Linked DNA regions of Anolis sagrei. The protein of the gene in region 2 interacts with the protein of the main gene of each other region in a biochemical or structural test. Links are inferred from orthologs where the notes say so. Each region holds a gene or a part of one and is shown on either strand. Other genes may lie near its edges.

The links.
Region 1: the proteins of TOP1 (region 2) and NKX3-1 form a complex in vitro, tested with the Homo sapiens proteins (2 studies listed by BioGRID and IntAct). The link is inferred for Anolis sagrei from reciprocal best matches to the Homo sapiens genes TOP1 and NKX3-1.

What each region holds. Positions count from the first base shown.
Region 1 is NC_090027.1:5,191,374-5,207,506, forward strand, and holds NKX3-1 (homeobox protein Nkx-3.1), read right to left. Parts: upstream 8,217-16,133; coding exon 7,799-8,216; intron 5,773-7,798; coding exon 5,375-5,772; 3' UTR 5,214-5,374; downstream 1-5,213.
Region 2 is NC_090024.1:216,022,152-216,038,165, reverse strand, and holds the start of TOP1 (DNA topoisomerase 1), read right to left. Parts: upstream 7,436-16,014; 5' UTR 7,282-7,435; coding exon 7,249-7,281; intron 5,409-7,248; coding exon 5,384-5,408; intron 1-5,383. UniProt on the Homo sapiens protein: Releases the supercoiling and torsional tension of DNA introduced during the DNA replication and transcription by transiently cleaving and rejoining one strand of the DNA duplex.

The DNA.
Region 1 (16,133 bases), on a different chromosome or scaffold from region 2:
GTTTTTTGGTGAGCCAAGGGTTCACCCATTCTGGTGGACTGAAGCCAGAGTGGAGCAAAACCTGCAGGACAACCACTCAACCACTCAAGGGACAAGACCCACTAAGTCAATGTTTCTCAACCTGGGGGTCGCAAGGAGGTGTCAGAGAGGTCACCAAAGAACATCAGAAAACACAGTATTTTCTGTTGGTCATGGGGGTTCTGTGTGGGAAATTTGGCCCAAATCTATCATTTGTGGGATTCAGAATGCCCTTTGATTGTAGGTGAACTATAAATCCCAGCAGCTACAGCTCCCAAATGTCAAGGTCTATTTTCTCTATACTCCACCAGTGTTCACATTTGGGTATATTGAATATTTGTGCCAAGTTTGGTTCAGATCCATCATTGTTTGAGTCCACAGTGTTCTCTGGATGTAGGTGAACTACAACTCCAAAAGTCAAGGTCAATGTCCAGCAAACCCGTCCAGTGTTTTCTGTTGGTTATAGGAGTTCTGTGTGGCAAGATTGGTTCAATTCCATCATTGGTGGAGTTCAATATGCTCATTTATTGTAGGTGAACTATAAATCCCAGCAACTACAACTCCCAAATGTCAAGGTCTATTTCCCTCAAACTCCACCAGTGTTCACATTGGGGCATGTTGAGTATTCGTGCCAAGTTTGGTCCAGCTCCATCACTGTTTGAGTCCACAGTGCTCTCTGGATGTAGGTGAACTACAACTCCAAAAATTCAAGGTCAATGCCCACCAAACCCTTCCAGTATTTTCTGTTGGTCATGGGGGTTCTGTGTGCCAAGTTTGGTTCAATTCTATTGTTGGTGGAGTTTGGAATGCTCTTTGATTATAGGTGAACTATAAATCCCAGCAACTACAACTCCCAAATGACAAAATCAATCCCCCTGCCCAATCCCACCAGTATTCAGATTTGAGCATATTGGGTATTTGTGCAAAATTTGGGTCCAGTGAATGAAATGCATATCAGATATTTACGTTACGATTCATAACAGGAGCAAAATGACAGTTGTGAAGTAGCAACAAAAATAATGTTATGGTTGGGGGTCAACACAACATGAGGAACTGTATTAAGGGGTCATGCATGGCATTAAGAAGGTTGAGAAACACTGACCTAGAAGGCAGTTGAGGGAAAAGGACTGTGCCAATTACACTATGCAAGCTCCCCAGTGCTTCCTCTTTGTCCTGGAAAGAAGTGACGAGCGGAGTGCCATCAGAAGGGTTCCAACCTTTCCCCGGTCTTGCTTGGGATCTTTATTAATGGCTTAGATCAGTGTTTCTCAACCTGGGGGTCGGGACCCTTGTGGGGGTCACGAGGGGGTGTCAGAGGGGTCGTCAAAGACCCTCAGAAAACATAGTATTTTCTGTTGGTCATGGGTTCTGTGTGGGAAGTTTGGTCCAATTTTATCATTGGTGGGGTTCAGAATGTTCTTTCATTGTAGGTGAACTATAAATCCCAGCAACTACAACTCCCAAATGTCAAATTCTATTTTTCTCAAACTTCTCCAGTGTTCACATTTCAGCATATTGAGTATGCGTGCCAAGTTTGGTCCAGATCCATCATTGTTTGAGTCCACAGTGCTCTCTGGATGTAGGTGAACTACAACTCCAAAAATTCAAGGTCAATATCCACCAGATCCTCCCAGTATTTCCTCTTGGCCATGAAAGTTTTGTGTGCCAAGTTTGGTTCAATTTCATCATTGGTGGTGTTCAGAATGCTCTTTGATTGTAGGTGAACTATAAATCCCAGCCACTATAGCTTCCAAATGACAAAATCAACCCTCCCAACCCCACCAGTATCCAAATTTGGGCATATTGGGTATTTGGGATTTGAAAATATCTGCATATCAGATATTTACATTACGATTCATAACAGTAGCAAAATTACAGTTACAAAGTAGCAATGAAAATGTTATGGTTGGGGGTCACCACATCATGAGCAACTGTACTAAGGGGTCGCGGCATTAGGAAGGTTGAGAAGCCCTGGCTTAGATGAAGGGTTAGAAGCCATGATTATCAAGTTTGCAGATGAGACTGAATTGGGAGGGATAGCCAATAGTCCAGAGGACAGGAGCAGAATTCAAAACGACCTTGACAGATTAGAGAGATGATGGGCCAAAACTAACAAAATGAAGTTCAACAGGGACAAATGCAAGAGACTCCACTTAGGCAGAAAAAAATGAAATGCAAAGATACAGAATGGGGGACGATGCCTGCCTCGACTGCAGTACGTGTGGAAAAGATCTTGGAGTCCTCGTGGACAACAAGTTAAACATGAGCCAACAATGTGATGTGGTGGCAAAAAAAGCCAATGGGATTTTGGCCTGCATCAATAGGAGCATAGAGTCTAGATCAGGAGTCCTCAAACTAAGACCCGGGGGCCAGATACGGCCCTCTAAGGTCATTTATCCAGCCCTCACTCAGGGTCAAGCTAAGTATGAAATGACCTGAAAGCACACAACAACAATCCTATCTCATTAGCCAAAAGCAGGCCCACATTTCCCATTGAAATACTAATAAAAGTATATTTGTTAAAATTGTTCTTTATTTTAATTATTGTATTGTTTTAAGTGTTTTTTGCACTACAAATAAGGCATGTGTAGTGTACATAGGAATTCATTCATGGTTTTTTTTTTCCAAATTATAATCCGGCCCTCCAAAAGTTTGAGGGACTGTGACCTGGCCCTCTGTTTAAAAAGTTTGAGGACCCCTGGTCTACATCCAGGGAAGTCCTGCTCCCCGTGCTCTTTTCTGCCTTGGTTAGACCATGCCTGGAATACTGTGTCCAATTCTGGGCACCACAATGGAAGGGAGATATTGACAAGCTGGAATGTGTCCAAAGGAGGGCGACTCCAATGATCAAGGGTTTGGAGAACAAGCCCTATGAGGAGCGGCTTAAAGAACTGGTCATGTTTAGCCTGAAGAAGAGAAGGCTGAGAGGAGACATGATAAGAGCCATGGATAAATATGTGAGAGGAAGCCACAGGGAGGAGGGAGCAAGCTTGTCTTCTGCTTCCCTGGAGACTAGGACGCAAGGGAACAATGGCTTCAAACTCCAAGAAAGGAGATTCCACCGGAACATGAGGAAGAACTTCCTGACTGTGAGAGCTGTTCATCAGTGGAACTCTCTGCCCAGGAGTGTGGTGGAGGCTCCTTCTTTAAAAGCTTTTAAACAGAGGCTGGATGGCCATCTGTCGGGGGTGATTTGAATGCAATATTCTTGCTTCTTGGCAGAATGGGGTTGGACTGGATGGCCCAGGAGGTGTCTTCCAACTCTATGGCCATCTGTCAAGGGTGCTTTGAATGCAATTTTCCTGCTTCTTGGCAGAATGGGGTTGGACTGGATGGCCCATGAGGTCTCTTCCAACTCTATGGCCATCTGTCAGGGGTGCTTTGAATGCAATTTTCCTGCTTCTTGGCAGAATGGGATTGGACTGGATGGCCCATGAGGTCTCTTCCAACTCTATGGCCATCTGTCAGGGGTGCTTTGAATGCAATTTTCCTGCTTCTTGGCAGAATGGGATTGGACTGGATGGCCCATGAGGTCTCTTCCAACTCTATGGCCATCTGTCAGGGGGGCTTTGAATGCAATTTTCCTGCTTCTTGGCAAAAAGGGATTGGACTGGATGGCCCACGAGGTCTCTTCCAACTCTAGGATTCTATGAAAACGGGACAAGGTTTACCCTGAAAGCACATGCCTACTGGGCAGCACTTTGCACTGATCCCCAGGAGTCTTGTACAACCAATGTATTCATTTTTCGCTACAGACCATATATGTCACTTTTATAGCAGCTGGCACCTATAGTTGCTGGAGCCCCCGGTGGCACAGTGGGTTAAACCCTTGTGCCGGCAGGACTGAAGACCGACAGGTCGCAGGTTCAAATCTGGGGAGAGGCAGATGAGCTCCCTCTGTCAGCTCTAGCTCCTCATGCGGGGACATGAGAGAAGCCTCCCACAAGGATGATAAGAAACATCAAATCATCTGGACGTCCCCTGGGCAACGTCCTTGCAGATGGCCAATTCTCTCACACCATAAGCGACTTGCAGTTTCTCAAGTCACTCCTGACATGACAAAAAACCCCAAAACAAAACAAAAAAACCTATAGCTGCTGATCCAAAGGGAGAACACCTAGATGCCAAAGGCAGGAGAGGGAAAAGGACAGTGACAATTACACTATGCAAGACGATTTTTGTTTCCGGGTTATAAATGTCGTTTCCTAATTGAGACTATCATAAAAACATGGGAAACGTTGATTAAACTGAAAAAAAATTGCAGAAGGGACATCCTGCAGCATATTGCTCCAGTTTTTCAATGAATTTTCAATGAATTTTAGGGCGACTAAAACGATCAAGGGTCTGGAGAACAAGCCCTATGAGGAGCGGCTTAAGGAGCTGGGCATGTTTAGCCTGAAGAAGAGAAGGCTGAGAGGAGATATGATGAGGGCCATGTATAAATATGTGAGAGGAAGTCACAGAGAGGAGGGAGCAAGCTTGTTTTCTGCTTCCCTGGAGACTAGGACGCAAAGGAACAATGGCTTCAAACTACAAGAGAGGAGATTCCATCTGAACATGAGGAAGAACTTCCTGACTGCGAGAGCCGTTCAGCAGTGGAACTCTCTGCCCCGGGGTGTGGTGGAGGCTCCTTCTTTGGAAGCTTTGAAACAGAGGCTGGATGGCCATCTGTCAGGGGTGCTTTGAATGCAATTTTCCTGCTGCTTGGTAGAATGGGGTTGGACTGGATGGCCCATGAGGTCTCTTCCAACTCTTGGATTCTATGATTCTGTGAATATCTCAACCAATTCAACATAGTTTGTAGTTTCTGGAGTAGAAAAACTACTTTCAAAGTAAGGACTGTACAATTAAACAGGAAATAAAAGGCTTGCTGTGAGTTTTCTATGGCTATGTTCCAGAACACTTTCAAACCAGGATCTAAAATTACAACAGCAAAACAGCAGAGAGGAAACAAACAACCAGGCACATCTTAACACCTCTCAACAAGGCATTTTCCCAGGCTCAGCCAGGCCTTCAAATGATAATGAAGGTGGTCAGCTGAAACATTCACACCTAGCTGCAGCAGAGAGCTCTTTGCCCCATCCCAGTCATTCCTCAGATATATAAACCAATTTTTCCCAGTTCCAACAGACCTCACTACCTCTGAGGATGCTTGTCATAGATGCAGGAGAAACGTCAGGAGAAAATGCCTCTAGAACATGGCCATATAGCCCGAAAAAACCCACAAGAACCTAGTGATTCCAGCCATGAAAGCCTGCGACAATACAGTTTTCAAATGTCGTTTACGTAGTGTTCTAGATGGGCACAGCATGGATGGAAAGCAACTCGGTAGCATTGGACTGCTCTTGAAGGTCAGTTACCAAAAGACAGGAGTCCAGCCATTGAGGCAGTATAAATAAGGGTGGTATTGGTGGCTGTGGCACACCGAGAGGGCCAAGGCAGCTCTGGAGAAGGCGCTCTCCTTGTATGTCGGGATGGAAGAGTTCTTCTCAAAGCCGCCGAGATCCGAGGCCAGCTGCTTCCGCTTGGTCTTGTACCTTCGGTTCTGGAACCAGATTTTCACCTGGGTTTCGGTGAGCTTGAGGTGGCGGGCCAAGTGAGCCCGCTCCGGGGCCGACAGGTACTTCTGCTGACTGAACTTCCGCTCCAGTTCGATGACCTGAGAGTGGGAAAAGGCCGCCCGGGAGCGCTTCTGCTGCTTTGGAGGCCGCAGGAAGGACTTGGGTGGGTTCCCTGGGGTTTCCGCAGGAGGATCTATGGGGCAGAAAAGAAACGTAAACAACAACAGGAGTATATACTGAGAACAGGCCTCGATCAGATTGAGGGTTGGGTTGCTGCGAGATTTCTGGAGTGTCTGGCCATGTTACAGAAGCATTCTCTCCTGACGTTTCGCCCACATCTATGGTAAGCATCCTCAGAGGTTGTGAGTTCTGTGGGAAACTAGGCAAATGAGGTTTAGGTATCTGCGAAATGTCCAGATATATAAACCACAGAAATATAAATCTCATCCTGTTTCCAACACACCTCACAACCTCTGAGGATACCAGCCATAGATGTGGGTGAAACGTCAGGAAAGAATGCTTCTGGAACACGGCCATACGGCCTGGAAAATTGTCAGGATGAGCTAGCATCTCCCAACAAAGGATTTCCCCAATAATAATAATAATAATAATAATAATAATAATAATAATAATAGCAGAGAAACAACTGGAAAAACTGACACGGTATGAGGATTTAAAGATCGAACTGCAAAGACTCTGGCACAAGCCAGTCAAGGTGGTCCCAGTGGTGATCAGCACACTGGGTGCATTGCCTCAAGACCTTGGCCTGCACTTAAACACAATCGGCACTGACCAAATTACCATCTGTGAGCTGCAGAAGGCCACCTTACTGGGATCTGCACGCATTATTCGCCAATACATTACACAGTCCTAGACACTTGGGAAGGGTTTGACGTGTGATCCAATACAACAGCCAGCAGAGTGATCTTGTCTGCTGGGGACTCATCTTGTTGTGTTTCAAATAATAATAATAATAATAAACTTTATTTATACCCTGCCACCATCTCTCCCAACGGGGACACTCGGGGCGGCTTACATGAGGCCAAGCCCGGACAGCAGATTACAGCAAAATAAAACCAAAAACACAAGCAATAACAACAACATCATAAAAACATGTGGATACATTAGGCAATACAAAATTACAATAACACAATCATATTGACAATGGGCAGACCACATGTTTAGGATAAAATATTAAAAACTAAGCAGCAATCAGCCAGTCTTTGAAGCTGCAAGGCCATTCAATGCTAATCAAGGTGGCCAGTTGCAACATTCACACTTGCCTCCAACAGAAAAGAGTTCTTTCTCCCACCCTGGACATCATTCTACAGAAATATAAACCTCATTTGCCTAGTTTCCAACAGACCTCACAAGCTCTGAGGATGCCTGCCATAGATGTGGGTGAAACGTCAGGAGAGAATGCTTCTAGAACATGGCCATACAGCCTGGGAAACTATCAGGATGAGCTAGCACCTCCCAACAAAGGATTTCCCAAAGCAGCAAGCAGCCAGTCTATCAGGACCAGCTAACACCTCCCAACAAAGGATTCCCCCTAGCAGCAATCAGCCAGTCTATCAGGACCAGCTAATACCTCCCAACAAAGGATTCCCCCTAGCAGCAATCAGCCAGTCTATCAGGACCAGCTAATACCTCCCAACAAAGGATTCCCCAAAGCAGCAATCAGCCAGTCTATCAGGACCAGCTAACACCTCCCAACAAAGGATTCCCCCTAGCAGCAATCAGCCAGTCTATCAGGACCAGCTAACACCTCCCAACAAAGGATTCCCCAAAGCAGCAATCAGCCAGTCTATCAGGACCAGCTAACACCTCCCAACAAAGGATTCCCCCAAGCAGCAATCAGCCAGTCTATCAGGACCAGCTAACACTTCCCAACAAAGGATTCCCCAAGCAGCAAGCAGCCAGTCTTTGAAGATGCAAGGGCATTCAATGCAAATAGAGGTGGCCAATGGCAGCATTCACACTTGTCTCCAGCAGACAAGAGTTCTTTCTCCCACCCTGGACATCATTCCACAGATAGAGAAACCTCATTTGCCTAGTTTCCAACAGACCGCACAAGCTCTGAGGATGCCTGCCATAGATGTGGGCGAAACGTCGGGAGAGAATGCTTTTGGAACATGGCTAGATAGCCCGGAAAACAACAACCCATTCCGTTTATGGTTCTGATATCTATGCTGGAGGTGACCCAAGAAGCGTCTTACCTGGAAGGTGGCTCTCCGGTACCTCCCGAGATTCGGGGCTGGCTTCCCGGGGGGCATTGCTTCTCCCGGCTTCCTCGGGGGGAGACCCAGGCCCGGCTGGATGGCCCCCCAGGCGCAGGATGTCCTGGATGAGGAAAGAAGTCAGCGGCTTGGAGCGGGGCGCAGCCATGAGCGCGTCCGGCAGGGGGCGCTGCCCGGTAAGGTCCCTCCCGCGGGGAGCGCGCCCTTGCTCGACGGAGCCTATGGCAACTGCCGGCGCCCCGCGGGGGCCTTTATACAGGGAGCCGGCCCTCCTGCGCCCTCCTCGGCCAGGATTGGTCCCTCGCTCCCCGCTGGAAGGAGACCCGCTCTCCAGAGGCAGAAGGGATCCAGCTCTTCCCCGAGCCATCTCCTCCTCCTCTTCTTCATCCCCTTTCATTTCCTCCTTTTCCTCCTTCTCCTCCTCCTCTTCTTCTCATCTTTCTCCTCTTCTTTATCTCCTAACTCCTTACCCTCCCTCACTCCCTTCTCCTCCACCACTTCTCTTCCTTCTCCTCATCTCCTTCCTTCCTTCCTTCCTTCCTTCCTTCCTTCCTTCCTTCCTCCTCCTCCACCACTTCTCTTCCTTCTCCTCTTCATCTCCTTCCTTCCTTCCTTCCTTCCTTCCTTCCTTCCTTCCTTCCTTCCTTCCTTCCTTCCTTCCTTCCTTCCTTCCTCCTCCTCCTCCACCACTTCTCTTCCTTCTCCTCTTCATCTCCTTCCTTCCTTCCTTCCTTCCTTCCTTCCTTCCCCCTCCTCCATCACTTCTCTTCCTTCTCCTCTTCATCTCATTCCTTCCTTCCTTCCTTCCTTCCTTCCTTCCTTCCTTCCTTCCTTCCCCCTCCTCCACCACTTCTCTTCCTTCTCTTCTTCATCTCCTAACCCCTTCTCCTTCTTTTCCTCCTCTTCTACATCCCTCCTTTCTTCCTCCTCCTCTTCTTCTCATCCTTCTCCTCTTCTTCATCTCCTAACTCTTTACCCTCCCTCCTTCCCTTTTCCTCCACCACTTCTCTTCCTTCTCCTCTTCATCTCCTTCCTTCCTTCCTTCCTTCCTTCCTTCCTTCCTTCCTTCCTTCCTTCCTTCCTTCCTTCCCCTCCTCCACCACTTCTCTTCCTTCTCCTCTTCATCTCCTTCCTTCCTTCCTTCCTTCCTTCCTTCCTTCCTTCCTTCCTTCCTTCCTTCCTTCCTTCCTTCCTTCCTTCCTTCCTTCCTTCCTTCCCCCTCCTCCACCACTTCTCTTCCTTCTCCTCTTCTTCATCTCCTAACCCATTCTCCTTCTTTTCCTCCTCTTCTACAACCCTCCTTTCTTCCTCCTCCTCTTCTTCTCATCCTTCTCCTCTTCTTCATCTCCTAACTCTTTACCCTCCCTCCTTCCCTTTTCCTCCACCACTTCTCTTCCTTCTCCTCTTCTTCATCTCCTAACCCATTCTCCTTCTTTTCCTCCTCTTCTACAACCCTCCTTTCTTCCTCCTCCTCTTCTTCTCATCCTTCTCCTCTTCTTCATCTCCTAACTCTTTACCCTCCTTCCCTTCTCCTCCACCACTTCTCTTCCTTCTCCTCTTCATCTCCTTCCTTCCTTCCTTCCTTCCTTCCTTCCTTCCTTCCTTCCTTCCCCCTCCTCCACCACTTCTCTTCCTTCTCCTCTTCTTCATCTCCTAACCCCTTCTCCTTCTTTTCCTCCTCTTCTCCATCCCTCCTTTTCCTCCTCCTCCTCTTCTTCTCATCCTTCTCCTCTTCTTTATCTCCTAACTCTTTACCCTCCCTCTCTCCCTTCTCCTCCACCACTCCTCTTCCTTCTCTTCATCTCCTTCCTTCCTTCCTTCCTTCCTTCCTTCCTTCCTTCCTTCCTTCCTTCCTTCCTTCCTTCCTTCCTTCCCCCTCCTCCACCACTTCTCTTCCTTCTCCTCTTCTTCATCTCCTAACCCCTTCTCCTTCTTTTCCTCCTCTTCTACATCCCTCCTTTCTTCCTCCTCCTCTTCTTCTCATCCTTCTCCTCTTCTTCATCTCCTAACTCTTTACCCTCCCTCCTTCCCTTTTCCTCCACCACTTCTCTTCCTTCTCCTCTTCTTCATCTCCTAACCCATTCTCCTTCTTTTCCTCCTCTTCTACAACCCTCCTTTCTTCCTCCTCCTCTTCTTCTCATCCTTCTCCTCTTCTTCACCTCCTAACTCTTTACCCTCCCTCCTTCCCTTTTCCTCCACCACTTCTCTTCCTTCTCCTCTTCATCTCCTTCCTTCCTTCCTTCCTTCCTTCCCCCTCCTCCACCACTTCTCTTCCTTCTCCTCTTCTTCATCTCCTAACCCCTTCTCCTTCTTTTCCTCCTCTTCTACAACCCTCCTTTCTTCCTCCTCCTCTTCTTCTCATCCTTCTCCTCTTCTTCATCTCCTAACTCTTTACCCTCCCTCCTTCCCTTTTCGTCCACCACTTCTCTTCCTTCTCCTCTTCATCTCCTTCCTTCCTCCTCCTCCACCACTTCTCTTCCTTCTCCTCTTCATCTCCTTCCCTCCTTCCCTCCTTCCTTCCTTCCTTCCTTCCTTCCTTCCTTCCTTCCTTCCTTCCTTCCTTCCCTCTCCTCCACCACTTCTCTTCCTTCTCCTCTTCATCTCCTTCCTTCCTTCCTTCCTTCCTTCCCCCTCCTCCACCACTTCTCTTCCTTTTCTTCTTCATCCCCTAACTCCTTCTCCTTCTTTTACTCCTCTTCTACATCCCTCCTTTTCCCTTTCCTCCTCTTCCTCATCCTCTTGTCTCCCTTTTTTATCTTTCTCCTCTCCCTTATCTTTCTTCATTCTCCCGTCTTCTTCTTCTTCTCTTTCCTCCTCTCCGCCCCTTCTTTTATTTCTCCTCCTCTTCTTCCTCCCCTTCATCTTCATCCCCTTTCATTTCCTCTTTTTCCTCCTCCTCCTCTTTTCTTCCTTCTCCTCTTCTTCATCTCCTAACTCCTTCTCCTTCCTTCCTTCCTCCTCCTCCACCACTTCTCTTCCTTCTCCTCTTCTTCATCTCCTGACCCCTTCTCCTTCTTTTCTTCCTCTTCTACATCCCTCCTTTTTCCCTTCCTCCTCTTCCTCACCCTCTTGTCACCCTTCTCTTTTTCATCTTTCTCCTCCTGTCCCTCCCCATCACTCTTCTCTTCTTCTTCTTCTTCTTCTTCACTTTTCTTCTCTTCTCCGCCTCTTATTTTATTTCTCCTCCTCTTCTTCCTCCCCTTCATCTTCCTCCCCTTTCATTTCCTCCTTTTCCTCCTCCTCTTTTCTTACTTCTCCTCTTCTTCATCTCCTAATTCCTTCTCCTTCCTTCCTTCCACCTTCTCCTCCTCCACCACTTCTCTTCCTTCTTCTATTCTTTATCTCCTAACTCCTCCTCCTCCTCCTCCTCCTCTTCTACATAGCTCCTTTTCCCCATCCTCCTCTTCCTCACCCTCTTGTCACCCTTCTCTTTTTCATCTTTTTCCTCCTCTCCCCACCCGTCATTCTCTTCTTCTTCTTCTTCTTCTTCTTCTTCTTCTCTTTCCTCCTCTTCTTCCTCCCCTTCATCTTTATCCCCTTTCATTTCCTTCTTTTCTTCCTCCTCCTCCTCCTCTTTTCTTACTTCTCCTCTTCTTCATCTCCTAACTCCTTCTCCTTCCTCCTTCTCCTTCTGCTCCACCCCTTCTCTTCCTTCTCCTCTTCTCCATCTCCTGACCCCTTCTTCTTTTACTCCTCTTCTACATCCCTCCTTTTTCCCTTCCTCCTCTTCCTCACCCTCTTGTCACCCTTTTCTTTTTCATCTTTCTCCTCCTCTCCCTCCCCATCATTCTCCCCTCCTCCTCCTCCTCCATCTCCTAACTCCTCCTCCTTCCTTCCTCCTCCTCCTCCTCCTCCACCACCACTTCTCTTCCTTCTCTTCTTCATCTTCATCTCCTTCTTTTCCTCCTCCTCCTCTTCTTCTTCTTCATCATCATCCCTTCCCCTTTCCTTCCTCCTCCTCCTCTTCTCTTCCTTATCCTCTCCTTCCTCCCCTTACTTCTCCTCCTTTTCCTGCTCTTCTACATCCCTCCTTTCCCCTCCCTCCTCTTGTTTTCTTTCTCTTCTTCATCTTCTTCCTCCTTTTCTCTTTCCTCTCCTCTCCTTCATCTCCTTACTGCTCCTTCTTTTCCTCCTCTTCTACATCCCTCCTTTTACCTCCATTCTCTTGTTTTTCTTCTCTTCCTCATCTTCTCTGCCTTCTCTTCTTCATCTCCTTACTCCCTCCTCCTCCTCCTCCTCCATATCTTTTCCCCTTCCTCCTCCTCTTCCTCTTCTCTGCCTTCTCTTCTTCATCTCCTTACTCCCTCCTCCTCCTCCTCCATATCTTTTCCCCTTCCTCCTCCTCTTCCTCTTCTCTGCCTTCTCTTCTTCATCTCCTTACTCCCTCCTCCTCCTCCTCCATATCTTTCCCCCTTCCTCCTCCTCCACCACTTCTCTTCCTTCTCCTCTTCATCTCCTTCCCTCCTTCCTTCCTTCCTTCCTTCCTTCCTTCCTTCCCTCCCTCTCCTCCACCACTTCTCTTCCTTCTCCTCTTCATCTCCTTCCTTCCTTCCTTCCTTCCTTCCTTCCTTCCTTCCTTCCTTCCTTCCTTCCTTCCCCCTCCTCCACCACTTCTCTTCCTTTTCTTCTTCATCCCCTAACTCCTTCTCCTTCTTTTACTCCTCTTCTACATCCCTCCTTTTCCCTTTCCTCCTCTTCCTCATCCTCTTGTCTCCCTTTTTTATCTTTCTCCTCTCCCTTATCTTTCTTCATTCTCCCGTCTTCTTCTTCTTCTCTTTCCTCCTCTCCGCCCCTTCTTTTATTTCTCCTCCTCTTCTTCCTCCCCTTCATCTTCATCCCCTTTCATTTCCTCTTTTTCCTCCTCCTCCTCTTTTCTTCCTTCTCCTCTTCTTCATCTCCTAACTCCTTCTCCTTCCTTCCTTCCTCCTCCTCCACCACTTCTCTTCCTTCTCCTCTTCTTCATCTCCTGACCCCTTCTCCTTCTTTTCTTCCTCTTCTACATCCCTCCTTTTTCCCTTCCTCCTCTTCCTCACCCTCTTGTCACCCTTCTCTTTTTCATCTTTCTCCTCCTGTCCCTCCCCATCACTCTTCTCTTCTTCTTCTTCTTCTTCTTCACTTTTCTTCTCTTCTCCGCCTCTTATTTTATTTCTCCTCCTCTTCTTCCTCCCCTTCATCTTCCTCCCCTTTCATTTCCTCCTTTTCCTCCTCCTCTTTTCTTACTTCTCCTCTTCTTCATCTCCTAATTCCTTCTCCTTCCTTCCTTCCACCTTCTCCTCCTCCACCACTTCTCTTCCTTCTTCTATTCTTTATCTCCTAACTCCTCCTCCTCCTCCTCCTCCTCCTCTTCTACATAGCTCCTTTCCCCCATCGTCCTCTTCCTCACCCTCTTGTCACCCTTCTCTTTTTCATCTTTTTCCTCCTCTCCCCACCCGTCATTCTCTTCTTCTTCTTCTTCTTCTTCTTCTTCTTCTTCTTCTTCTTCTTCTTCTTCTTCTTCTCTTTCCTCCTCTTCTTCCTCCCCTTCATCTTTATCCCCTTTCATTTCCTTTTTTTCTTCCTCCTCCTCCTCCTCTTTTCTTACTTCTTCTCTTCTTCATCTCCTAACTCCTTCTCCTTCCTCCTTCTCCTTCTGCTCCACCCCTTCTCTTCCTTCTCCTCTTCTCCATCTCCTGACCCCTTCTTCTTTTACTCCTCTTCTACATCCCTCCTTTTTCCCTTCCTCCTCTTCCTCACCCTCTTGTCACCCTTTTCTTTTTCATCTTTCTCCTCCTCTCCCTCCCCATCATTCTCCCCTCCTCCTCCTCCTCCTCCTCCTCCACCACCACCACTTCTCTTCCTTCTCTTCTTCATCTTCATCTCCTTCTTTTCCTCCTCCTCCTCTTCTTCTTCTTCATCATCATCCCTTCCCCTTTCCTTCCTCCTCCTCCTCTTCTCTTCCTTATCCTCTCCTTCCTCCCCTTACTTCTCCTCCTTTTCCTGCTCTTCTACATCCCTCCTTTCCCCTCCCTCCTCTTGTTTTCTTTCTCTTCTTCATCTTCTTCCTCCTTTTCTCTTTCCTCTCCTCTCCTTCATCTCCTTACTGCTCCTTCTTTTCCTCCTCTTCTACATCCCTCCTTTTACCTCCATTCTCTTGTTTTTCTTCTCTTCCTCATCTTCTCTGCCTTCTCTTCTTCATCTCCTTACTCCCTCCTCCTCCTCCTCCTCCATATCTTTTCCCCTTCCTCCTCCTCTTCCTCTTCTCTGCCTTCTCTTCTTCATCTCCTTACTCCCTCCTCCTCCTCCTCCTCCATATCTTTTCCCCTTCCTCCTCCTCTTCCTCTTCTCTGCCTTCTCTTCTTCATCTCCTTACTCCCTCCTCCTCCTCCTCCTCCATATCTTTCCCCCTTCCTCCTCCTCTTCCTCTTCTCTTCCTGCTCTTCTTCATCTCCTTCCTCCTCTCCTTCCTTCCTTCACTGAACAGACTGCGCTCTGGCACCACGAGATGTAGAGCCAACCTCATCGGGACTCGGAGTGGCTTACATGGGGCCAAGCCCGAACGACAATGACAATAAAGAATGACCAAACACAAACTGAAAACGCAAACAATAAACAACAAACAACATCATAATCACAAAAAAAAAACCATATGAATATACAACAATATAAAATTACAATAAACACAAACGCAGTGACAATGGGCGGGCCACATGTAATGGTTAAAAGAAGAACTAATTAAAACTGGTTAAAAAGCTCGGTGAGATAAAAGACAGCGATGATGATGCTTCCTTTCCCTTCTGGAATCCCAGGAGTTGTAGTTTGATGAGGCACCAGCACTCTTTGTCAGAGAAGACCGAAAACCTTGTAAAACTACAACTCTCAGGATTCCATAGCATTGAGCCAGGACAGTTCACATAGTTCTTGTGGGTTTTTTTCGGGCTATAGGGCCATGTTCTAGAGGCATTTCTCCTGACGTTTCGCCTGCATCTATGGCAAGCATCCTCAGAGGTAGTGAGGTCTGTTGGAAATAGGACAATGGGTTTATATATCTGTGGAATGGCTGGGGTGGGGCAAAGAGCTCTTCTCTGCTGGAGCTAGGTGTGAATGTTTCAACCTTCATTAGCATTTGAAGGCCTGCCTGAGCCTGGGAAAAATCTCCTGCTGAGAGGTGTTAAGCTGTGCCTGGCTGTTTCCTCTCTGCTTCATTAGCATTTGAAGGCCTGCCTGAGCCTGGGAAATCTCCTGTTGAGAGGTGTTAAGCTGTGCCTGGTTGTTTCCTCACTGCTGTTTTTGCTGTTGTAATTTTAGAGTTTTTTTTAATACTGGTAGCCAGATTTTGTTCATTTTCATGGTATCTTCCTTTCTGTTGAAATTGTCCACATGCTTGTGGATTTCAATGGCTTCTCTGTGTAGTCTGACATGGTGGTTGTGAGAGTGGTCCAGCATTTCTGTGTTCTCAAATAATATGCTGTGTCCAGGCTGGTTCATCAGGTGCTCTGCTATGGCTGACTTCTCTGGTTGAAGTAGTCTGCAGTGCCTTTCATGTTCCTTGATGCGTGTCTGGGCAATGCTGTGTTTGGTGGTCCCTATGTAGACTTGTCCACAGCTACATGGTACACAGTAGACTCCTGCAGAAGTGAGAGGATCCCTCTTGTCCTTTGCTGAACGTAGCATTGGTTGGATTTTCTTGGTGGATTTTCTAGTGTCAAACTGCACCAATTGTCATACCCCAGTGGAGCATCCGATCTGCCATCTGACCCATTCGGACTCTGCTCTGATGACCCTCTCAACAATTCGTAATGGTGTCCCCCTCCTCTCCAAAGTCCATTTTGCTTCCTGAGTGAATACTTTAGGTTTCCCCCTTGCTGATAAGCACATGCTCCTGCAACTCTGGCAAGCCACGAAGGAAAGATTTATGAAGCAATAGGAAACCAAGAGTATTATTTGGATTGCACTTTGCCGACCTCTTCCTTTGGCACCAGGCCTTCTTAACGCCAGTTCTCCACCTTTCACCCCACTTCCACTTCTGGGGAGCAAATTAAGCTTTGTGACGGCCTGTTGAAACCATTAGATAGCAGACACCAACTGGGTGGCCAGTTGGGCATTTCCTTCCCAATCTGCTCAACCACTTAGCTCCTCTCCTTCACCTGTAATTCACATCGGGAATATTTGCTTTAGTGCTTGGAAAAGTGACCTCCTTGGTGGGAAAAGAAGATTTTGGGAGTGTATTGTGAGCAACTCAAGACCTCCGGGGATGATCGCTCTTCATCTTGGCCATTGAAACAGAGGGAAAGAAACAAAGAATGACTTGCTTCCCAGATAGATTCATCTGTTGGAA
Region 2 (16,014 bases):
GATAAGAATGGAGCACAAAGCTCAATGAGACTTAGTGTGCATATGTCAGGTGAGCTATTTTCTAGAACCCTGAAGTAACATGCAACACATGAAAGCAAATACAGTGAGCACATCTAATTCTACTTCCACATGCATTATGATTAGATTCATTCCCCTCATATGGCTACAATTTCTCTTTCTTCTTGAAAATGTAGGATAACAAAATTGGTGAGTTTGAAGTTTACCTGATACATAACAGACATAAGACAGACCAGAAAGACAACTACGGTCAGTCCTCTGTATCTATGGATTCAACCATCCACATCTTTTTAAAAAATGATTTCAAAAAGTTTCTAAGTTCTTGGAAACAAACTATATTCTTGTTGCCGATTAAAAGATTTACTGAACATGATAATCACATTTCTGAGTCAAACTTCAGTGTAACCAGTTCACTAAAAAATTCACTATTTGCAAAGCAGGGCACATAACATCTTCTATACTATGACACAGCAATACTTTTGTAATCAAGTATACATGATAACGTTTTCCTTTTTATTATCTTTTAAATAATAAAGGGAGGAGACTTCATAAGCTCTTCTGAATGAACATGTTAAGCGCTAGTGTTCTTGAAATGGTGTTTTATGAATCCAGTACACAGTTCAAGGAGCTTCTGAAGCAGTGAAGCAAGGTTCTCTATGAAAATGGAACAAAGACATTTGACTCCAGAAAATGAAATTAAATTTATGGACAGATTAGAAAATTGCAACAAGCTAATAGAATAGGTATATACAATTTGAAACCTGGCTGAGTAGACTGCATTAAAGCTGTCAAACAACAAGTATTCAAAATATAAACTCTTTTAAAACATTAGTCACTCGCTAACCAGTTAATAGGCAAGCAACCCTAACTCAACTAACTGCCAAACACTCAGCCAATAAGTTCAACAACTGAGCAGAGAAAACCTTCAAAATTTTCATCCACTTAGCTTATCCACAATTTAAATGTGAAGAACTAGGCAAAGAACTTAAGCAGCTTGCCAAGGATCACATGTTCATTCAGCTGCAAAGCCAGATAAAAAAGAACTAAGAAGACCACGCCCAAAGAGGGGAGATCAAAATTCAACCCTCATTATCACGACTATTACTGGTTTGACACACCTGGAATTTACATATCTTGTTAAAGGGAATGGCTGATCCTTTACTGACTGGGGAAATAACAATTATGTTTTCCAAAGTAATTGGAGATATATTACTACTACTACTTACTATGATAACTGTAAGATTTGGAATTTAATTGATTCAAATGATCTACATGATCTTAGAATAAGATCTTCTCTATTTAGTTATTATTTACAAGTAAGCTCAACTAACTGAAAACTAGATTCCATGAACCTAAACAGGCAGCTGTTTGCACAGGCCTAATATAGATTACATTTAAAAAGTAATTCTTCCATTCATCAGCCCTTTTCACACTCTGAACAATAAAAGTGACATTACTATTGTCGTATAAACATTAATGTGCCCACAAAAATGCATTTCTACATATGTATGTTTTTTTAAAGTACAGTTATACCTCCAAATTTGCATATTTGATTCTTGTGGCTCTGATTAAAATGCTATCCATGAAATTCAAGTTTCTCCAGTGCAATTCTACGATCAATTTCTTGGTTTTATTTGTTTGTTGTTTTAACTTTCATAGGAGTTCTGTGCCCCTAACCTCAGCAAATTATGCTGGTCAAACCTAAGACCTACCTTGTCCAGGATTCCTGTTCCAATAATGGCCAAACAGGTGCTATCAAGAGACATAGTTGGACAGCCATCATGACTACCTATGTTGATAGCTTTCTCCATGAACTTGCTTTATCCCATTCAAGCTGTCTGTGTGGGAGACCATGAATACTGCACTCTTATTTTGAAACAGCTGAACTCAAGGAGACTTAACCTCCAAGTAGGTAAATGTATTTCATACTAAACTGCAAATGTTTATCAGTGAAAGGTTTTCATAAATATTAAGTTCCCAAAAGTCAAGGGTTTCAAAATGATTTGCTCAATTCCACAGAGTGTATTTCCCTGATCTTCCACAAGTGGTCTTCTGTCCTCTTATGACCAACCTCACTCAGGAAAAAAAATCTGGGAAAGGTTATTCTGGTCTGCCAGTTATTTTTGTTCCTCCTTTTTAAGTCAAGAAAAAAATGACTTTGGATCTTATACTTTAGAAAAACCCCACTGGCATATGGCATCAGGATTAGGGCCTCTTCCCAATTCAAATCACTGCCAAATCTTATTTTTGTCTGTTCAATGATAAAATAATATTCATAAACAATACAAAAACTGAGAGCATCATAAAGTCTAGAACATATGCCACAAATAGTCTAGGGAGGACGAACTTTCCCCATGAAAAAAGCTTTGTGTCTTCAGTAAAGACACAACTTTGTTTCTGTTTGACATATAAATTCATATTGAAAAAATCATATTCATGGAAGAGCATGTATGATGTTTTCACTTCCTCAATAATCTGGAGGGGGGCCATTTGTTTTCACACACAAAGCATGTGAATAATTCACTATTTGAACAATATTATGCAAGTCCCATCCTCCAAATGACTAAGTCTTGAAAGAACAAACAGCTTTTGGACCTCATAAGTCTCCAAAACATGGTTAAGAATTCAGTAGAGCTAAGAATACAAACTTTTCAAATATGTAAAAGGAGCAGAAAACGTATAGATAATATAAAAGCTACACATATGATACTCATGTAATCAGGCATAAAATTATACAGCAATGCTTACAATATAAACACAGCTTTAATACCCTAAAACAAATTTAAATTATTTGTAAAACTATGTGGTTACACAATTCTCTGTAGTTGATGATTGCTGCAGTGGTAGAGGGTTTGCACCTTTGTGCAGGGCTGCTCTAGATGATTATGTGATTATATGAATAGTATCATATCAGGATACAATTGCAGTCGTTTATGTCTCAATCCTCCAAAATTAAAACAAAAACAAAGATATAAACAAAGGAAAATTATGTAGGTTAATCTCCCTGGTGTATTAAACTGTTAGAACCACCAGAAACTGTTCACACAAGCAGCATAGCTGTGTATCATTGCAAACTGATTTTCCTCATCAAATGCATATAGGTATTGTTTTTTACATACTCGGGTACTGGATGTTTATCATTGGTGGTTTAAATGTTTTCTGTTCAGCCACAACAGCTTTTGTGTTTAAACAGTTTCCACATTTCTAGAACTAAGGGCTTCATCTTATGAGGCACCTAAACAATTAGGATGAGGAAACTATGAGGAAAGCTGTAAGCTCCCTAAAAACAATATATAATGGTGTTGTGTACTGGAAGGAATGTATAATGCTGTAAGTAATAATGTAATTTAAAACAGCCATTCAAGATAAATTATCCTTCCAAAGCGGTTTTAAAACAGTCAGGAAAACTACATCAGTCTATGAACAGGCACAAAACAGAAGCTACATATAAAGAAAGCATGCCAACAGGAGACTTTTCACTGCTTTATCTAGAATAGAAACCATTTTATACATCAAATTAATCATATAATAACTGAGAAGGCAAAGACATTGCAATACAGTATAGTATGCAAACATAATAGCAATTTCAGACTTAGTAGCAAGGTGAGAAAGGACATACCAGTGGAACTGCAATTCTTTAAATGATACTGAAGATATTGTGGTTACCTGAGCAATCAGTGTGACACCAAAGATAAAGGACTGTTTGGGCCTGCTATGACTGTCCTCGTACAATGTCAAGTTACTGGTATTCCTTTTAAAAACCCAAGAAAACATCTAGGAAAATATTTTCATATCCTAAGTACAGGACACACTTTTCACTAAGGTACCAGACATGTGTTAAGATGAGAGAACCAGCAAAATTCAGTGTCTGAATATAAAGACTCCAGAGAAAGGCATGTTCGATAAACGTTTATACAGTCAGAAGATTACAAGAAGAAACACTGAAATCCATGAGATCTTAGACACATTTTAAGTATAAAGTTAGCACTGAACTGTCCCCTGGAGTACAACACACAGACATTCATATCCTTGAATATATATCAGTCAGCAAATGATATCCTTAATAAGAGTGGCAAAAAATCTCCCTATTTACATTCAAGCAACTCTTTGAAATTCAGCTGGTGATTGAGAAAGTTCTATACATTGCTTTTTAAAAAATACTAAAAGGTTTAAATCCAAATTATCTACCAGAAATATTCAGAAAAATAAATATTTCAATGTATATATATAAATATATATATAGAGAGAGAATATCTGTATTGCATTTTACATATGTTTCTGATAACTTTTGTGTATTAATAAATAAGTATTAAAATTAAAACAGAACACGTTGCACAGATCATGAAAACGTTTTATGAAAGTGAGCATAAAAACACTTTAAAGTCAATATATAATTCTTTTTAAGTGGAGGAAGCAATTTTGACATTTCACAGATATGTTATTTCAAATGTACTTGTCTCTCCTCTAGACCTTATTCCCTATAATCAAAGGAAAGCGAAATCTTCCTATTAAACAGGGGGGTTTTTTGGAGGGGGGGGCGCTGATAACAGACTGGTATCCCCTCTCCTTTTGCTTTTGTACATGAATTGCATACAACTGCCCAACTTTAGCAAAGTGATGCTGGCTACTATTCTGGAACTGCCCACCATTCTACCTTTCTCTTTCAGAATACAATAATTAGAGCCCCACCCAGCCAGTTCTGCATCTTGGTCTTAAATATGTTATAAATTGAAAGAGATGAAGCATTTGTTCAAGAGCAACATGTTGCAACCACGTCTGGTTTATAGGGGGATGGGGGACTGAAAGAAACACAACTGGAGGAGGGAAGAAGATAGGAATAAAGAGGTAGGCTACTAAATCAAGGCTTTTTAAAAGCAAAAAAAGAACAAAAACCCCACAGGATCCCCCCACCCGCATCCAGAAAGGGTGATTTAGAACACGGAGGTGGTTATTTCGCATGTTTTCACTGCAGGAGGCTCCTTGCGGGCAGCTCGAGGGAGGAGGAGAAGGAGAAAGAGACACACAGGGAAGAGAGAGAAAAAGAAAATGGCGCAGAGACTAAGTCCCGACCGTCGACAAGGCGACTTTCCAGGGGGGAATCCGGGCCCAAGAAAGGCTCAAAAACACCCGGGGAGGCCAGAATCGGGGTCTCCACAGCCCTCTCTCCCGGGAAATGGGGTCGGATGGGCAAGGGGCTTTAAGATTGGGGAGTATCAGGAAGCCCGATGGGAACAATGGGGCCGGTGAGCGAGGAGACGGGACTTAGTCTCTGGGACGCCATGTCTGTCCTTTGCCATCCTCAGCAAGCACAGAACGAGGGAGAAAGGAGGCAGGGGAGGGGAAGCAAGGCAAGGCCGGCACTCACCGTTTGCTCGGAAATCTGGATCGATCTGGGGGGAAGGAGGAAGGGGGCGAAGATTAGATTTATTTTTTAAGGAATCTTAAGAACTATTTCACCCTTGAGAACAAAAAAAAAATGCCTTTAAAAGAAACACCAGTCAAGGTGAGGGGGAGAAATGAATGCCCTAAATACTCTAAAAATATATAAACTACACAAATTAAAGACATATATACATACAGGGCAAATTCATTTACATGTATATATCCATTCTTCCCAACCATAAGAATTATTTCACTTCAAAAAATGCATTGATAAAACACCAGTCAAGGTGAGGGGAGAAATGAATGCCCTAAATACTCTAAAGATATATAAACTGGACAAATTCAGGATTATATACACACACAAAGGGCAAATTCATTAACATGTACATTTATGTATCCACATATATTAATATACCCCTTCCTCCCAGCTCTAAGAATTAATATATTGATAACACACCAATGTATTGATAAAACACCAGTCAAGGTGATGGGAGAAATGAATGCCCTGTATATATAAACTGGACAAATTCAGGATAATAATATATATAAACACATACATACAGGGCAAATTAATTAACATGTATTTTTACATGCCCACACATATTAATATATCCCTTCCTCCCAACTCTGAGAATTATTTCACATGGCAAAAACTGTACTAATGTATTGATAAAACTCCAATGTATTGATAAAACACCAAGCTGATGTGAGAAATGAATGCCCTGAATATATACACTGGACAAATTCAGGATGATAATATATATAAACGCATGCATACAGGGCAAATTAATTAACATGTATTTTTTATATACCCACATATATTAATATATCCCTTCCTCCCAGCTCTAAAAAATATTTCACATGGCCAAAAATGTACTAATATATTGATAAAATACCAATGTATTGATTTCACATCAGTCAAGGTGAGGGGGGGGGGAATTAATGCCCATTTATAGGGCATGTATATTTATGTATCCACATATATTAATATATCCCTTCCTCCCAGCTCTTAAGAATTATTTCACATACCAAAAAATGTACTAATTAAACACCAGTCAAGGTGAGGGGGGAGAAATGAATGTCCTTAAATATATTTATTAATATATCCCTTCCTTCCAGCTCTAAGAATTATTTCACATACCAAAAAAGTACTAATTAAACACCAGTCAAGGTGAGGGGGAGAAATGAGTGTCCTTAAATATATTGGTATGTTTCAAATTCAAATAATTGACACCCATACATATATATCCCCCCCCCTCTTTTTTCCCCACCTGGCTTCCTCGTGTTTGTTTCTGTGTTTCCCCAGCTCTCCTTTAAATGTATTTTAATGTTTTGAAGGATGTCCTTAAAAGGTGATTGAATCAAGAAGGGAGATCTTGGAGAGAGTGGGAAGTCTGAGACAAAATGGGGACGACTCCACAGGCACAATGCAGGCCATGTCTGGGTTTAGATGTGGCCTGGGCAAATTCCAGCCCTCCAGGTGTTTTGGACTCCAACTCCCACAATTCCTAACAGCCTACCGGCTGTTAAGAATTGTGGGAGTTGGAGTCCAAAACACCTGGAGGGCTGGAATTTGCCCAGGCCTGAAGGAGAGAAAAAGAGAGGCCTAAAAGCCTCTTTTAGAGTGTTGCACACTTCCCAGGAGGAAGACAATGGCTCTCCTCTTTCAGGCAAGCCTCACTTTTCCCTAGGCTGTGAGGGAACTCGCCCAGCTAGGCCTTATTCCGAATGAGGGCCTAGCTTGGATGGGGAAAGCCCCCCCTCTTCGCCCTTCCCCCTCATGGGCGAAGGTAGGCCGGAGCGTCGGTTAGCTTCTCTCAGAGCTATAGAGGAAGGCCTCGTCCTCACCTGGGAGTCGTTGTGCAGCTGATCCCCACTCATTGCCTACGACGAGGCTACGTGCCGGGCGGGGAGGCGAGAGGGGAAGCCTGGCGAGACGCCTGCGGAGGAAAGCCTCGAGGCCGAAGAGAGAACGCGGCCCCTTCGCTACGGAGCAGCTACTTGTGTAACAGACTAAGTCCCGATTTCCTCCCACTGCGCAGGCGCGGCGGCTTTTAAACCGCAGGGCGGGGCTAAGAACGGACGCCACCTTACGGAAAAAACGGGCGCCTTCTTTGCATAAACCCGGCCTACTTGCCTTCTCCCCTCCAATCCGGAGCCGCGAGGGGTTATATTTACATACAAGCCACGCCCCCTGATAGAACTAGCCTTGTGCCCCTTCGGCCACGCCTCTTCCTTCTCGGCCATTTAGGAAAATGCCGGGTGCACTGCTTTTCTTTCTTTCTCTCTATTTACATATCCGGTCACGCCCCTTCCGGGGCATCCAATGAGCGAGCAAGACGAGGGATCGCTATATTTGCATACAGGGAGTACGCTGGAGCGAGGTACCCGCAGCACATTGTGCAAGAGACAGCATGGGCGTAGTGCGCATGCGCTTTCTCGCCCACTGTTTCTCCCCTACTTATAGAAACTCTTCCCAACGCTTGCGACACTTCTGAAGAATTGCCATCAGGTACATGAAGTACCGGCGCCATGTGCTGGAGGAGCCGCTTGTCATGTGCTTCAGCCCTGCTTGCAAATCCCTATCAAGGGCAGCAACTCTGGGAAGACTTTAAACACGATGTCTTTTTGCACTGCTCCAGGCAGAGTATCCCTCTGAAAGTCTTGAGACCAGAGGTGCGTCTGTATTGTAGAATTAATGCAGTTTGACCCCACTGCCATGTCTCAAGGCTATGGGATTCTGGGATTTGTAGTTTAGCAAGGTCTGTAGCCGCCTCTCCCAAATAGTGCTGGTGCCTCACCAAACTACAACTCCCATGATTCCAAAGCAGTGAGTCATAGCCATTCAGGCAGTGTCAAACTGTATTAATTATGCAATGCAGATGCACTCCTGGACTCAAGCTTTTCAGAAAAGGATAATAATAATAATAATAATAATAATAATAATAATAATAATCTATATAAATAAAAAATGTAATGTTCTGGGTTGTAGGTAGGATGCTTGCCATAGATGCAGGCGAAACGTCAGGAGAGAATGAGATAAAAATGAAAGAGAAATATTTCTGGGAGAAGCTCGTAGGAGACGGAGTAGTGGAAACAGGCCTTCACACCGGCAGAAGGAAGTACAATATGAGGATGACATTATGGGCGGAGCAACAAAAAGAGGTATATGGTCACTCTCCAAAGGCGCAACAGAAAAGCCAAGTTTTGAGATCTTTCTTGAAGGCTGCTAAGGTGGGGGCTTGCCTAATCTCACCAGGCAGTGAGTTCCAGATCCGGGGGGCCACAGCGGAAAAGGCTCTCTCTCTCATTTCCACAAGTCGAACCTGTGATGGAGGAAGGGGTGAAAGGAGGACCTCCCCCGAGGATACTCAGCCCAAAGTAGTGTTTTGGATTTTGGAATATCTGTATTTCTGTATGTGTACACCATAATCATCACCTTGAAGATGGAATTTATTTGTATTTTCATAGACACCTCAGCCACCCATATGGGCAATTTTGGAGTATTTTGGAATTCTGGATTAAGGATGCTTACACTGAACTTCCTGACTGTGAGGGCCATTCAGCAGTGGAACTCTCTGCCCCAGAGTGTGGTGGAGACTCCTTATTTGGAAGCTTTTAAACAGAGGATGGAAGGCCATCTGTCAGGGATGCTTTGAATGCAATTTTCCTGCTTCTTGGCAGGGGGTTGGACTGGATGGCCCATGAGGTCTCTTCCAACTCTATGGTTCTATTTTATCTCAGTTACCTCTGCTGTGAGAGAATCAGCCGTCTACAAAGACCTTGATGTCTTGCAATCCTGTAGGGAGGTTTGTCTCATGTCCCCCCTAAAACAGTGGATGTGTCTCTTAATGAGACATGCCACATTATCACAGGGTGTCTGCACCCACAGGGTGTCTGCACCCTACACTACTGGAGAAACTACGCTGTTTAGCCGGTATTGCACCACTGGGAAGTAGCAGTTAATTATGAAAGGACCAAGACAGTGACATCTCCAGCCCATCCCCTGTTCGGATATCAGCCAGCACACTAATGACTTAAATCAAGAAACAATTTTCTAAGATTGACAGAGACATTCACTGGAACAACTCAGCAAGCAAGAGTCCAAAAGTGGCAGCTAAAACCCAAAACCTCAATCCATGGCCCCTTCTGGGCACACAGAAAACTTGGGGGACTTGGAAGGTGTTGAGCATAAGATGCAGAGCCAACCCTTATGAATTGTGGCTACAAAGTGGAGTCCACAACATGTGAGTGTGGAGAAGAGCAAACCACAGACCACCTATTACAATGCAGCCTGAGCCCTGCTACATGCTCAATGGACCTTCTTATAGCAACACCAGAGGCACTCCAATTGGCCAGCTACAGGTCAAAGGACATTTAACAGAATGCCAAGTTTTCAAATTTACAATACAATACAACAGTACCCTTGGTTTGCTCTTGATATGATAAATACATTTTATCTCTGAAAAAGAGAGATGAAAGTGTGCTGATTCTCTCTGTATGAGAAATCAATGTAATTTCATGGCATTGTGGAGAATAACATCTAATTGACAGAAATAACAGTAACATATTAAGCGGAGAAAGAAACAAAGATGCCAATGAGAAGCTCTGCTTTCTATTCAGTTTTCACATATAGTTACAGTTAAAAGGTAAAGGTTTCCCCTGACATTTAGTCTAATCATGTCCAACCCTAATCCTTCCAACTCTGGGTGGTGGTGCTTATCTCCATTTCTAAGCCAAAGCGCAGTTGCTGTCCGTAGATGCTTCCTAGGTCACGTGGACTGCATGGAGCACTGTTACCTTCCTGCCAAAGCAGTACCTATTGATCTACTCACATTTGCATGTTTCAAACTGCTTGGTTGGCAGAAGCTGGGGCTAACAGCGGCAGCTCACCCTGCTTCTCGAATTCGAACTGCCAATCTTTCAGTCAGCAAGTTCCACAGCTGCACCACAGGGGGCCCTTGTAGTTACAGTTACTCATTCAAAAAATGGCAAACCTTTGCTCTGAACTCAGTGTTTAGAAGTCTATTCAGGAAAGATGGCATTAGGATGTACAGTATAGATTGTTTTGTGATTTATAGTGTGACACTGAGATGTTTGCAGTGTGATTGTGTGTGTGTATTTGGAACCTGTATCCACTACATTCAACTTATTTCTAGATAAACCTACACAGACTTATAGGTTCAATGTATACAATCATCCAGAGCTTGAAAATATTCCTCTCCCAACAGCAGAAAAAGTCCAAAAAAAGCAAATCTTGATTTTTGCCATTTTATTTGAGGAACACCATTTTATTATGTCTTTGTGTAAAATGGGACTTGAGCATTCACAAAATTCAAATTCTGTGGATGCTGCAAAGCAGGGGTGCTGTAACCAAGCCCCAGTGAATTTTACCTGCATTTTAACAAAATGTTTTAGCATTTTACTTTATCTGCAGTGCTTTGTTTAGATTGGACCATATTCAGAAGAGGAATATTCAAGATGATCACAAAACCAGGTCCTATAAAAGAATGCTTATACTGGTTAACTGGTTGCAGATGTAGAAAGATCATCCATACTGCAAAAGTATAACAGTTTGTTACCACTTTAACGGCCATCCCATGAAGTCCTGGGATTTGTAGCTCGTTGTGGCACTAGAGCTCTCTCTCAGAGAAAAGTAAATATCTCACAAAACTACAATACCTAGGAATTATTATTATTATTATTATTATTATTATTATTATTATTATGTTTATATATAAACAGTTCAGGCCCAGCTTATCTGTCCAAATATATCTCCCTCTATGACCCACCTCGGAGATTAAGATAGTTGAGGGAGGCCCAGCTCTTGGTCCTACCACCCTCGGAAGTGCGATTGGTGGGGACGAAAGTCAGGGCCTTCTCAGTGGTGCCCCCTCATCTGTGGAACTCCCTCCGCAATAAAATCAGAGCACCCCTCCCTCCGATCCTTCAGGAAAATACTTAAGACATGGTTGTGGGACCAAGCATTCGAGCTATAATTGTGGCAATGCAATAATGAGAGTAATTTTAATGTGACTAACAAATGGACAAAACTTGGACTATGATTTGAACTTGCATGATTTTAATTGATATTTTCATAACAGATGTTTTAATTATGTGGTTTTAATTGCAATTGTTGGATTTTTGGAATTTTATGTTGTTGGCATCAAATTTCTGCCTGTTTTGAGGCTGCCCTGAGTCCCTTCGAGCAAGAAGGGTGGGATTCAAATGTGGAAAATAATAATAATAATAATTCATTGGAACTTATGCCACAAATACCATCTTCCTGTGACAAAGAACTGGTGGGATCACAAGCCAGAATAAGTTACAGAAAATGAACACGTCAAACTCCTCTGGGACTTCCAAATTCAGACAGACAGAGATTTGGAGCACAATACTCCTGACCTCACAATCGTGTTAAAAAACAAAGTATGGATTGTCGATGTTGTAATCCCAGGTGACAGTAGGATTGAAGAGAAACAACTGGAAAAGCTGACACGATATGAGGATTTAAAGATCAAACTGCAAAGACTCTGGCACAAGCCAGTAAAGGTGGTCCCAGTGGTGATTGGCACATTGGGTGCAGTGCCTAAAGACCTTGGCCTGCACTTAAACACAATCAGCGCTGACAAGATTACCATTTGCCAGCTGCAGAAGTCCACCTTTCTGGGATCTTCATGCATTATTCGCTGATACATCACACAGTCCTAGACACTTGGGAAGTGTCCGATGTGTGATCCAACACAACAGCTAGCAGAGTGATCTTGTCTGCTGTGGACTCATCTTGTGTTTCAAATAATAATATATCCCACTTTTTCTCTTTACAAGGAGGCTCAAAGCAGCTTTCATAGCATTGAGCCACAGCAGTGAATATGGTGTCAAACTACTGTACTTTAATTCTGCAGTGTGGATACAGCCTAAATGTCAGATTAAAAACAGGCAATGTGCAAAGATAGGTCTTGCTGCGATCAAATGAGTATATTGCCATATAATCATGCCTAAGATCACTGCCTCATGAAAAGCCTACTTAGCAATAGCACCAGAATTCATTCACTTGCCCTTTGATGCTTTCAGATGGTAAACACTTTAAGTTATAGACTTTCTCTTCTATTTGTATAAGCCCTGGGCATAGTTACAGCTTTATATAAATAATACTAATAGCTATATTGTAAACAGTATGCTTCTTATTGTATTATTTTCAGAACACTTTCCCCAAAATGTGACACATAATCCAAGCTGGGGTTTTCACTCCATTTCCTCGATTTTATGCCAGAGCAGTTCCACTGTAGTCAGAAGTCTAGCATTTAATGCAAAAGCACTGCAACACAGCAGAACACCATCGTGTTCTATTTCTGGTGATTCAGTTTTTTAAATTCTGCATTTTACAATGGAGGCTCACTGTTACAATAAAGTGATTGTTCATTGACAGGCTGAGCATGTTTCCAAATTGCCATAATCACTCCCTGTGCACTACTGCCAGTGTGGAATAAATGACTATAGGAGTCCTGTGGTGACCCATATTCTGAAATTCTGCATTGCTGACCAATACGCAATACTCCTTTGTCTCCCTGCATTTATAAAAGGATACAATTTTTCCTGTCTGCCTGTCTCTCTCTCTGTGTGTGTGTGTGTAGCAGGGAAAGAGAGAGATTGTGTTTGTGTAGCCATGGCCTAAATTCAGTTTCTAGTACCAGCTGAAGTAAACTCTTTGCATTAATGCAGATTTATCTAAATACTTATTTATTTAATTTATATCCTGCATTTCTCCCATAATGGGGTTCAAGGCAGCTTGCAATAATTTAAAAAGATACATCTAAATTTACAAAAAAAAAAAAAAAAAGAGAGAGAGAGCCATGTCAAAGCCATGTCAAAATCCCTCACTACCCATACCTGCAAATGTGTTGGGATTGAGAGCAAGACCTCGCTTGCAAACCTTGATATTCATGTTGACTGATATGATAAGGAGATATGGAACCAAGCATTTGGGATTTTAAAGCTAAAAACCCACAAACAGACAGGTAGGCAATGCAACTATTCCAGCAGGGAAGTTGCACAATGCCTTTGGTCTACATCTTGGCCGCAGCATTTTGGACTTGTTGAAGTTTCTGATCAGAAGTTCTTCTTAACCACAGGATAGTAGCTAGAGTGTTGAGCAGGCATCCCCCAGTTCTTCTTGGAGTTACCCCTTCTTGGAGTTACTCAGTTTCTTGGAGTTACCCTTCCAAGAAAGGCTGGAGCCATGTGAAATAGTGTCCCATTGTCCCTATTTGATGGTATCAAAAACTGTTGAGTGGTTCAGCAAAAACACCAGGGACATATTTCCCTATCCAGTTCCCTGTGTAGGTCATCTATCAAGGCAAGAGAATCTGTCTCTATCCCATAGCTAGGCCTGAAGCCAGAATGAAGTGGACTAGATATTCTGTTTCATCCAGAAATGCCTAGAGCTGGCAGGCGGGTCACTACTTCTCCAGTATGGTGAGATCCAGGAAGGGGTTCTTTTCAACAATGGTCTCACCACAAAGTCTTTTATACAAGATGGAAATATCCCTTGCTGTAGTGAGGCATTCACTACTCCCCATACCCAATCCACTTCTCCCTCTTGGGATGTTTTCAACAGCCAGGACTGGCATGGGTCCAGTATGCATGCAGTGGCTCTTGTCTCTATCCTGTTTATATTCTCAAGTTCCATGAATTGAAATGTATCCAACAACACTGGACAAGCAGAGGCCAAGATTATAGGATTTCTATACATTTGTATAAAAGTTGATTTAGACTGTATAAATGCTGACTAAAGGTTTGTATAATTGTTAACTTACATCCAGCAATTGATTCACTGGGTTTGCCCTGCTTTGGACTGCCAACTGAATGTAGGTCCTATCACAACAAGGTATGACAAGAGGGTTCCAGGAAGTGCTCTAATAGTCGACATTGAGTCTCCTGCTGTGGCATTCTCTTGGTATGTACACAATGATACCAGTGTGGTGTGAGTTGTCAGAGCAACAGCAGCAAATCTTTAGTCTTCCAGATGTTTTGGACTTCAAGCCCCAGGCAGTATTATTAGGATTTTCCAAAACATTTGGGGGAGAATCAGAATTTCCCTAGTCCAATTTAGAGTGCTATATTGGGAAGATAATGCCCAACTCCTCACTGAGCCATTAAATTCACTGGGTGACTTCAGGCCAGTGATTCTCAGTTAATCTTACAGTGAGTAAAGAGAGAACCAGAAGCATAATTCTGCCTTGAGTTTATTGGAAGCAATGCAGAATATATGTGTAACTAATAATTAATAAGTGGGATGTACTCTACAAAAATTAATGCTAAAATAAATTTGTTATGAAAATGTGTCAAAGCAACTTATTCCTTTCTTTTTAATAACAGAAACAAATATGACTATGTCTTTGAAAAGTAGTCTAGAAATTAACTTTCCAAAGTTCTGGTTTTAAAACTTATAATGCAGCACATTAATTCAGTTGTGAAGTAACTCTATACTCTCATCCAGAATCACAACTGCCATGTAAAAAGGAACAACAGCAGGAGGTTTTTTTTTTGTTTTTTGTTTTGCTCATGCCTTGCTTGGGGGCTTCCCAAAGGCATCTGGAAGTTGGCCACCACTAGAGGCAGGCTATTGGATTTAGTCCTTTGGTCTTTTGCAGTAGGATTCTTCTTAACATTTCATTGATTTTATTATCATTGCATATCAAATCCTTGATCAGTATAGCCCTGACTGGGACAACACTTCACAATATTCACACGTACACAATCATGTAGATGTTCCATCCCCAATCATAGACGAGGTGCAACAGGAACACATTCAGGAGAATGATAGGCTCTTAGACAAATCTCAGTGGATTGTCCTTGATGAATGCACCGGGGATGTCAAGGAGGAGGACAACACTTTACACCTACACAATTCACTTCAACAGGATTACTTTTCTGAGGATCTACACACTATATTGCACAAAAGGTACCCTGTCAATCCTTAAAGTAAGCAGGTCTTGGTGGTAGGCAACTCCCTCCTTAGAGGAACAGAAGCCATCATTTCCAGACCAGATGGGATGGCTCGAGAAATATGCTGCCTCCTCGGGGCAAAAATACACCATATCACTCTGAGGCTTACCAGGCTCCCCAAGCCCCATCACCACCACCCCCTCATGCTGATTCATGTAGGAACCGATACTATTAGGCATACTTTTCAAAAGATCATAAATGATTTTTGAGCTCTTGGAACAAAGCTAAAACAGTGTAATGTACAGGTGGTCTTTTCATCCCTCCTCCCAGTTGTAAGACACGGCCCTACAAAGGCCAGAAAAATAGTAGAAAAGTACTAATAGTTCTTGCTGCTTACCTTTTGCATAGACCTAATGGTGATTTTCCTTTTCATGATAACATAAGGAAGCATAATAAGAAACTTGCATAAAGCAGCAATAGGTTTGGGTTCCCATTCTGAATATAATCCCGCAATGCCTGGAACTAATGAAGTTGCAGGTAAAATCTGTAATAAAATGTTGCCATATGGAATGTTTCTGTGCTGTCGCACGCTGGGCCTGTGCACATGACTGTAGACAGGACATAAATTCTGTGTGCCCAACGGGACGCCGGGGCTGCCTCATATTA